Arabidopsis thaliana: one gene and its partner. The protein of the gene in region 1 interacts with the protein of each later gene in a pairwise test. Each region holds a gene or a part of one and is shown in the gene's direction. Other genes may lie near its edges. The genes, in order: AT1G63840 and AT4G14490.

What was found.
Region 2: the proteins of AT1G63840 (region 1) and AT4G14490 interact in a two-hybrid assay, tested with the Arabidopsis thaliana proteins (one large-scale study listed by BioGRID).

The regions. Positions count from the first base shown.
Region 1 is NC_003070.9:23,689,007-23,692,922, reverse strand, and holds AT1G63840 (RING/U-box superfamily protein), read left to right. Parts: upstream 1-2,115; 5' UTR 2,116-2,431; coding exon 2,432-2,932; 3' UTR 2,933-3,320; downstream 3,321-3,916.
Region 2 is NC_003075.7:8,331,258-8,335,628, reverse strand, and holds AT4G14490 (SMAD/FHA domain-containing protein), read left to right. Parts: upstream 1-2,049; 5' UTR 2,050-2,054; coding exon 2,055-3,215; 3' UTR 3,216-3,826; downstream 3,827-4,371. Other genes in the region: AT4G14500 (Polyketide cyclase/dehydrase and lipid transport superfamily protein), read right to left, coding at 1-63, 509-671, 865-1,238; AT4G14480 (Protein kinase superfamily protein), read left to right, coding at 4,085-4,371.

The DNA.
Region 1 (3,916 bases):
TCTCCATAGAACATTTTAAATGTTGACAAGACAAGAATCTATTGGATTAAACATACAAATGGGAAAATTTATCTATTGAAATGTTATTTAAGTTAGATAAATGCATCAACAAATTGACGTATATGTACTTAACTGATATATATATATATATATGTTAATGTGTATATATATATATATATATATATACTATGTTAATGTATATAGTTATAGTTGCAAAAGAAAAAAGAAAGTGTTAAATTTTGGAATGTGAAATGTTGGAGGAGAAGATGGAGAGAGTGTGAGGTGGGTCAGTGCTGCTTTTGGCTCTTTCATTACATTAGTCAGATTCCCATATGACATGAGACTTTCGCTCTTCCTCAGAAATAGATCCCTTAATATTGTATTCTAGAAGTATATTTGACATAACGGAATCAAAAGCCAAATTGAAGAGCTATGTGGACTTTTCTACGTAATTAATTTAGGTCTTAATATACTTAGTATACACTCTCAAAATGCTAGTAATTAATATAGCAAATGACGAATATGTAGATTGATGATAGTTCAACTAGTCATGTAATGATGTGAAGATACAAACATAATATGCATTTGAACTCAAATCCTATCAACCATAAGTAACATTTGGGTACCCATATTTATACCAAAACGTAACAGCCAATTAAAAAATCTGGTAAAATTTCATAGAAAACGACGTAATCGTGATACCTTTGTTTACTACTAATCTTGATACTTTATGATTTACATCCATGTGAAAATAAAATCATGTAGACCAAAAATTTCTCATACAAAAACATTAAAAATAGAAATAATGGTTTTGCAATATTTTGTTAAAACAGTTAATTTTTTTAAAAAAATACACACGTATATATTCATAGTTTATATACTTTATAGGCTTATAGCATAGTTCAATAGAGGTACAGACAAACTGAAAAGAAATGAACCTAACTATCTGTCTTCACCTCGATTATTTGTCGTCTGTCTGACTATTTTAATTTAATTCTAATAATTTATGAATGTGACTAGTTTGGCTTATAGGCAAAGATCAATTTTTAGAGTGGGGTTATTGAATATTGTATTCTAACGGAATTGTATGTATTTTCAAAGACACGGTGACATCCACTGTCATTCAATTTCTATTTGATTTTGTTACATTTGAGTTTCAATGTATTATTTTGTCTAAATCACGAGTAAAACAAATACGAGCCTTTTATCTCTGATTTTGATGTATTTCTCATAAAAATTATAAACAAAATAATTATTCCCAAAATTGTTTTATTTCTCTTTCATCTAACAAAGAGATAAAGAATCAGAAGCATTTTGAGAACAATATAATGGCGAAGAAACTGCAAGATCCACCGATGGCATCTTCAAAATGGAGCCTTCGGCTTTGGAGGAGGAAGATCGTATTTTAAGAACAGAAATTCGATCATTCATCCAGATCTGATCCCTTATGTTGCAGTTCCCACTCTCTTTTTTTCTTTTCTTTTTTGCCATTTATGATGCAGTGACTCTTTGAACATGAGTGAAGTTCAAAGAGAACTCAGTCAAAATCCATACCAATTAACGATTAACACATTACAACGTAATACATAAGTCGTGTATTGTAGTGACTTTGTCAAAATCCAAATTCAGTTACGCTAAAATACATTGAAAACATCAATCCAATAATTTTGAACCAAAGATTCAAATAAAAACACGATTTTTTTTATTTTGTAATCGAACGATTTTGAACCAAAGTATAGACTAATTAATATTTGGGATTTTTAGAAAAGTTTAATATATTTAAACCCTCATGGGTTAACCTAGGTATGAGTTTTTTTTTTTCATTTGTAATATGTTGATTATGTGTATTCTTGGGTGCTATAAGCAGAAGTTACATTTCTGTCTCCGTATACCGTATTAAAAATAATGTATACTCAATTGTAAATATCTTTGATTATGTCATTATGTATTTCATGTATACATGTCTTTTCTCCTAAAACTTTTATACCACTTCATAAATCAAGAATTGTAAGAAAGTTAAAATTAAATAAACAGAAATTTAGTGTTTAAATCTGATTTAAAATGGAAATTTGAAAGTAACGAGTTTATTATATAGTAAAATACATATAAGAAATTATTTAAAACCCTTATTTAAATTATATAGAAAAAAAAAAGGTCAAGTAGTCTTCTATTATTTACTAGTATAACCTCTAGAAACATCATCACCACATTCCTGGCTAATATCCTTCATCTAGAACAATTATTAACGAATCAAAATACCAAAAAACAAAGCACCTCATTGACTATTAAATTAGTACTAATACATTAATTAAGTTATTATTCCTATATATAAATCTCACCCATTCTCCACCTTATCATCACAATCCAAAACTCTCTCTCTCTCTCTCTCTCTGTCTCTTGTCTTATCATTTATCTCTCTAACGGCGAGGCAATGGGTTTTCCGGTGGGATATTCTGAGCTACTTCTCCCAAAAATCTTTTTCTACTTGTTATCTTTCTTAGGTTTGATACGTAAACTCATCTCCACAATGTTCAAGATCATTGGTCTACCAGATTTCTTAGAACCTGAACCGGTTTCAACCTCATGGCCCGACCCACCACCCACGTTGACCAAACCTGACTCAGCAGCAATACTAGCCGGAGAGATGTTACCGGTTGTTCGATTCTCGGATATAAACCGACCGGAATCCGAGTGTTGCGCAGTGTGTCTCTACGATTTCGAGAACGACGACGAGATCCGACGGCTGACGAATTGTCGACATATATTTCATCGGGGATGTTTGGACCGTTGGATGATGGGTTATAATCAGATGACGTGTCCACTTTGTCGTACACAGTTTATACCTGATCATCTTCAACTGGAGTTTAATCAAAGGCTCTGGTCTCAATCTTCTGCTGTTTCTTCTCAACTTCTTGATGAATCATCATCTTAGGACGTATTAAATCTTTGTCCAAACAAAAAAAAAAGACATATTAAATCCTTTTTTTTTGGTACTTTCATTGGGAATTGGGTTTGGTGTGAGATCGATGTAAATATTAAACAAAAAAAAAAAGGTAGTGGTTACAGGTTAATGAAAAAAGAAAGAAGAAGAAAATTTGTACTTATCCATCCCTGAAAGATGAAATTACATTTTGAGTTATTATAAAGTTGTAAACTTTTTTTTTTTGTTAAGGAAAAAAAAAATCATTTGCTATAACAGATTAATACTGAATGTGTTAGTTTTTTAGTACAGTATTTTAATAAACATTGTTTAGAAGTTATTTTTTAATTGTTACTTGTTCACCTGGCTAACTCAATGATACTGACATATTGTTTTTTGATTAAAGGCTTACATCAATGATATCTTTCTTTTATAATTTAAAATCAACAAGCATTATGCATAGGTCATTGAAGATAAGATTGTTTGTTCATCCCTATAACATGCTGAACTAATATATTTCAACATGTATTTGAGGGTATTTGAAATGTTCTATAAGTGGTAATAACAAAACTGAAGTCGGAAACCGATATGATTATTCCCCACAAGTGCTAACATCATGTATTTAGGTTCTCATCCGATGACATGTCTTGAAAGAAGCAAAAATTAATGGCGAAATCGTCATGAATATAGATATATCTTGGACATTGCATTTGACTTTTGTTTGATCACGTCTCTCACAAAGGAGCTTGGTGTGTCCTTTACGATTTATCATGTGATCTATTGTGACAATGCTGGAGCTATCTATCTATGGGATAATCATTTTGTTTCATTCTTGTTTGAAACATGTGGCACTTGACTATCATTTTATCCTAATCATGTTTTTCACTCCCGGTTTCTTATGTATTGTTCATATTTCGTCAAAAGATCAATTAGCAGATACATTCACCATATTTTTTGCTTACTATATTTTGCTACTTGTTTTGACAAAATAAGCTA
Region 2 (4,371 bases), on another chromosome or scaffold:
CCTAACAATATCTGGAGTTGCATCCTCAAACACAGTCCGGCTGCGATAAATAACAGGACCTGTCTGATAAACAATACGACCTATCAGGCTACAAACACAATTTGATCAAATGTTTCTATCATCTAGTATTTAAGAATTCCCCATTTCATTATAGCAAGAACACAGTTTCAAGTAAAATGTCACAAAAATGCCACACAAAGGGGTAAATGCAACAACGCATCACATCGTGCCCAAAAAGAACCAAAGCTAAACAAAGAAACACAATGTATACTACTAGACACCTAAAAATTGATCGTCTATAGCTATCCTTAGAAACATATCTCCCTCGTCATTACCAATAAACCTAAAAGCAGTGGTCTGATTCAGATGTCATTCAAATTACTCTAAAGAATTCATTTTTTCGACTATTCCGCCTACTACTCAATGACTTAGCTTGTTCCTTGAGCTACATCATTCAGGCGTAGCATAAGGAAACGGATACAAAGCAAGAGTATAAAACTTAGATTACCTCAGGCTCATGACGCCAAGCCTGGTAGCTCATATTTGGAGTAGTCTTATCCATCATAGATTGCCATTCCAAAGCTGCATTTCCAACTTCAAGCAGCTGAAGCAGATGCTCTAAATCATTCTCTGTCACAATATCCTCTGTCACCGTCCCGTTATCGCTACCTCTGCAAATATAACCAATCCATAAATCAACTAATGCAAAAAAAAAAAAAACCATTCTTTTGCCAATGCTATTGCGAAACTAAAAGATAATGCAAACACTATATACCTTATCTAGCTAAATTAAAAGTAAACGTTACGTTTTAAAACAGAGAACTAAAACTTCTACATCTTCCAATAATTAAGCATTACACTAACCTTGAGGCCAATCCTGATTCATCATTATCCTCAACAGGCGTCTGCGACGAAGCTGAACCGGTCGCCGATTTATTAGCTCTGGTGTCATTCCTTGACCAGATGGTTCGGCAAACGGAGAAAGCAGAGAGAGCGGTGAAAGCAAGCCAAAGCCGACGAGCACCAAACCCAGGCGGTGCGGTCCATAAAAACCGAAGCTTAGAACGAAACCCTAAATAGATCAAACCGGTCCATCTTGGACGCCAAGACCATCCGATTAATAACCCGATCATAACGGCGAGCCAAATCGGAACTGCGCATAGTAAGATGTCGACAAATGTCTCTGTAAAAGAGGGATTCTTAAAGAAATTCAATAGATCAAAATAGGTCTCATCCATAGCGGATTCTCTAGATTCGATACTTTACTCCGATTTGGATAAAAAAATTTCCCGAGAAAAAATGTCAGATTCCCGAAGGAAAATGGGATTCGAAGATCGCTAAAAATTTAAGCGACATGAATCAGGAGAATCAAAGACGAAGACGAAGAAGAAGAAGAAGGGATAATAATAATTTTTTTCTTTTTATTTAATTGAGTTTGGTGATTTAATTGATTAAATCATAAAAAGAAAAAAATGTGTTCTGATATTATTTGCTGTGCTTGAAACGACGTTGGCGGGTGAAAGGAAATGATAAGGACAAGCATAGTGGCGATGACGTGGCGCTTTCGTTGACCGACAAGTTATATCCCACGCGTCAGATCTTAGCGCGTCGTGTTCACTACGTAGAGGAATATACTCAAAAATCAATTATTGTGTTAGCATTAGAAGCACGTTTTGTTGATTTGCAACAATTGTAGATAAGAGCCTAATTAATTTATAGGAGTAAGGTTAAATTTGGTTGATTTCGAATATAAAAGGGAATTTTAACAGTGGATATCCAAATGATGAGGTGAGATACACGCGAGGGTAAAGGAGCGTGAGGGGAAAAAGGTTGGAAAAAAAGTGGATAAGGGAGAGATAAGTTTGCTGAGAGATTCACGTGTGTTGCTGGAAGTTTGGGTAATCAATAATGCCAGTTGTTTAGCCAATAGTAGCTTTTAGCCTTGAAATTGTTTTATCGTCGAAACGATAAAAGCCCATTTAAGGCCCATTAATAATTGGAGCGTCAGACAAATCAAAATTTCAAAATTCGCATTTGGGAGAGAAACGGTAACAATGGTTACGCCATCGTTGAGATTAGTATTCGTCAAGGGTCCAAGAGAAGGCGATGCTCTAGATTACAAGCCTGGATCTACGATTCGTGTTGGTCGAATCGTTCGTGGTAATGAAATCGCAATTAAAGACGCTGGAATCTCCACTAAGCATCTTCGGATCGAATCGGATTCTGGGAATTGGGTAATACAAGATCTTGGATCTTCCAACGGTACTTTATTGAATTCGAATGCTCTTGATCCAGAGACGTCGGTAAATCTCGGAGATGGCGATGTTATCAAACTAGGTGAGTATACATCTATTTTGGTGAATTTTGTGATTGATGATTTTCAGGAGAAGAAGCTTACGAGGAACAATAGGCGTCAGGCTAATGCGAGGAAGCGAATTAGGGTTTTAGAAAGTATCAATTTGGGGGATATCACTGAGGAAGAAAAGGGTTTGGATGTGAAATTTGAGAACAAGCCGAGTTCTAGGGTTAGGAAAGTTAGGAAAATCGAGGATTCGGAGAAATTAGGGATTACTGATGGATTACAAGAGGATCTGGTGGAGAAAAATGGAAGCTTTAGGAATGTTGAAAGTATTCAGAGTTCATCTGTAAACTTAATTAAGGTTGAAATGGAGGATTGTGCAATGGTGGAGGAAAATTTAGGGAGGGGATTGAAGAAGAGAGTGAGCAGTAAGGCTACGAGGAGCAAGAAGATTGAAGAAAGTGTAGGAAAAGCTTGTTTGGGAGTGGTTAATGTAGAGAAGGTAGAGACTTTAAAGGAGAAGAGGATTACTAGGGCTACAAGAAGCAAGAAGATTGATATTGTTGGAGATTCTTATTTGGAATTGGACATGGTTCTAAATCGAGCCAGAAAGAACAAAGGGAAGAACAAGAAAGCGGATCAGAAGCCGTTGAAGAGCTTTGAAAATGATGAGGTTACTGATTCAGGAGAGCAGGGTTTAAGCTGTCATGTTGAAGAAGATATGAACAATGAACTTGATACAGATCTAAGAAAGATGACATTAGGAGCATTGTTCAGTTTTCTGGAGGGTCATCTGTCAAAAGAGATAATTCACAAGACAGAAAATATGATTGAGCCCATGCGAAGTAAAACTCAGAGAGTTCGTGAGTATATTTCAGATCAAAGAAAAGTTCAGGCTAAAGCGTGTATGTGTTGAATTGACAAAGTGTCCAACTGATATGGTGCACACTGATTATTGGTATAGCTTCAGTTCATGGAATAAGAAACACATACTGACAGGTACAAGTTTCTTATGAAGTAGACCTTAATGCTGTGGGATTGGCTGTGTTGCTTAGAGTTTTGACTGCATTGATTTACTTGCATTTGCTTTACGTGTGAGACAAAGTAAACAGTGAAGTGCTGATGTTTAAGTAGGTTTCATAAGTCTTTTGCCCACTTTATAGTATATGTTTCAAGGACATCCCTGAAGACTTATAAAACAAGTTCTGTTCCATTGTGATTTTATCTTAGCATATTGATGTTTGAATACTTGATCATTCATTTTACCAAATGTCAAGAAGGCTGACGTCTTTTCTCTAGTCTTTGTTTCCTTCTCATGTGGTCAAAGGCAAATGCAAGTTCTTCAGAAATGCCATGAAAAAAAAGTTGTAAAACGAGTCTAGATATCTAAATCTAGAACTTTAAATTTCTGTGAAATGATGAAAATAAATTTTCATAGCTCCATTTAATTTTTGTACCTTTACCGGTTTGAAGTTGAAATGATAGTGTTTGCCCTTTGGGTCCCTGGAAAGACCAAAGGTAAAATCTCATTAACTAAGGTTAGTTAGTTAGCTCTTTCACATGCTTCATCTTATTGTTTCATCAACATATTTTTAAGTAAGAGATAAGGGTTTTGCTTTTACATTAAAGGCTCTCTTTTTTTTCAAGTTCACATGCTAAACCAACTCTTTCTTTTTTCATCCCTATATGAATAGCCTCATGGTACTATTAGCCTCTAAAAGACCACAATTCCACTAAAAACATAACAATTCAATAAGCAAGAGTGTACTCATCTTCTTTCTATTTATGGCTCGGAACAAGCTCGAGTTCCCTCTTGATGCTGAAGCCTACGAGATCATCTGCAAGATAGGCGTTGGTGTTAGTGCTTCGGTCTACAAGGCCATATGCATTCCGATGAACTCAATGGTAGTTGCTATCAAAGCCATCGATCTTGATCAGTCGCGGGCTGACTTTGACAGTCTTCGCCGTGAAACCAAGACGATGTCTCTGCTTTCTCATCCGAATATTCTCAATGCTTATTGTTCATTCACCGTTGATCGATGTCTCTGGGTGGTTATGCCATTCATGTCTTG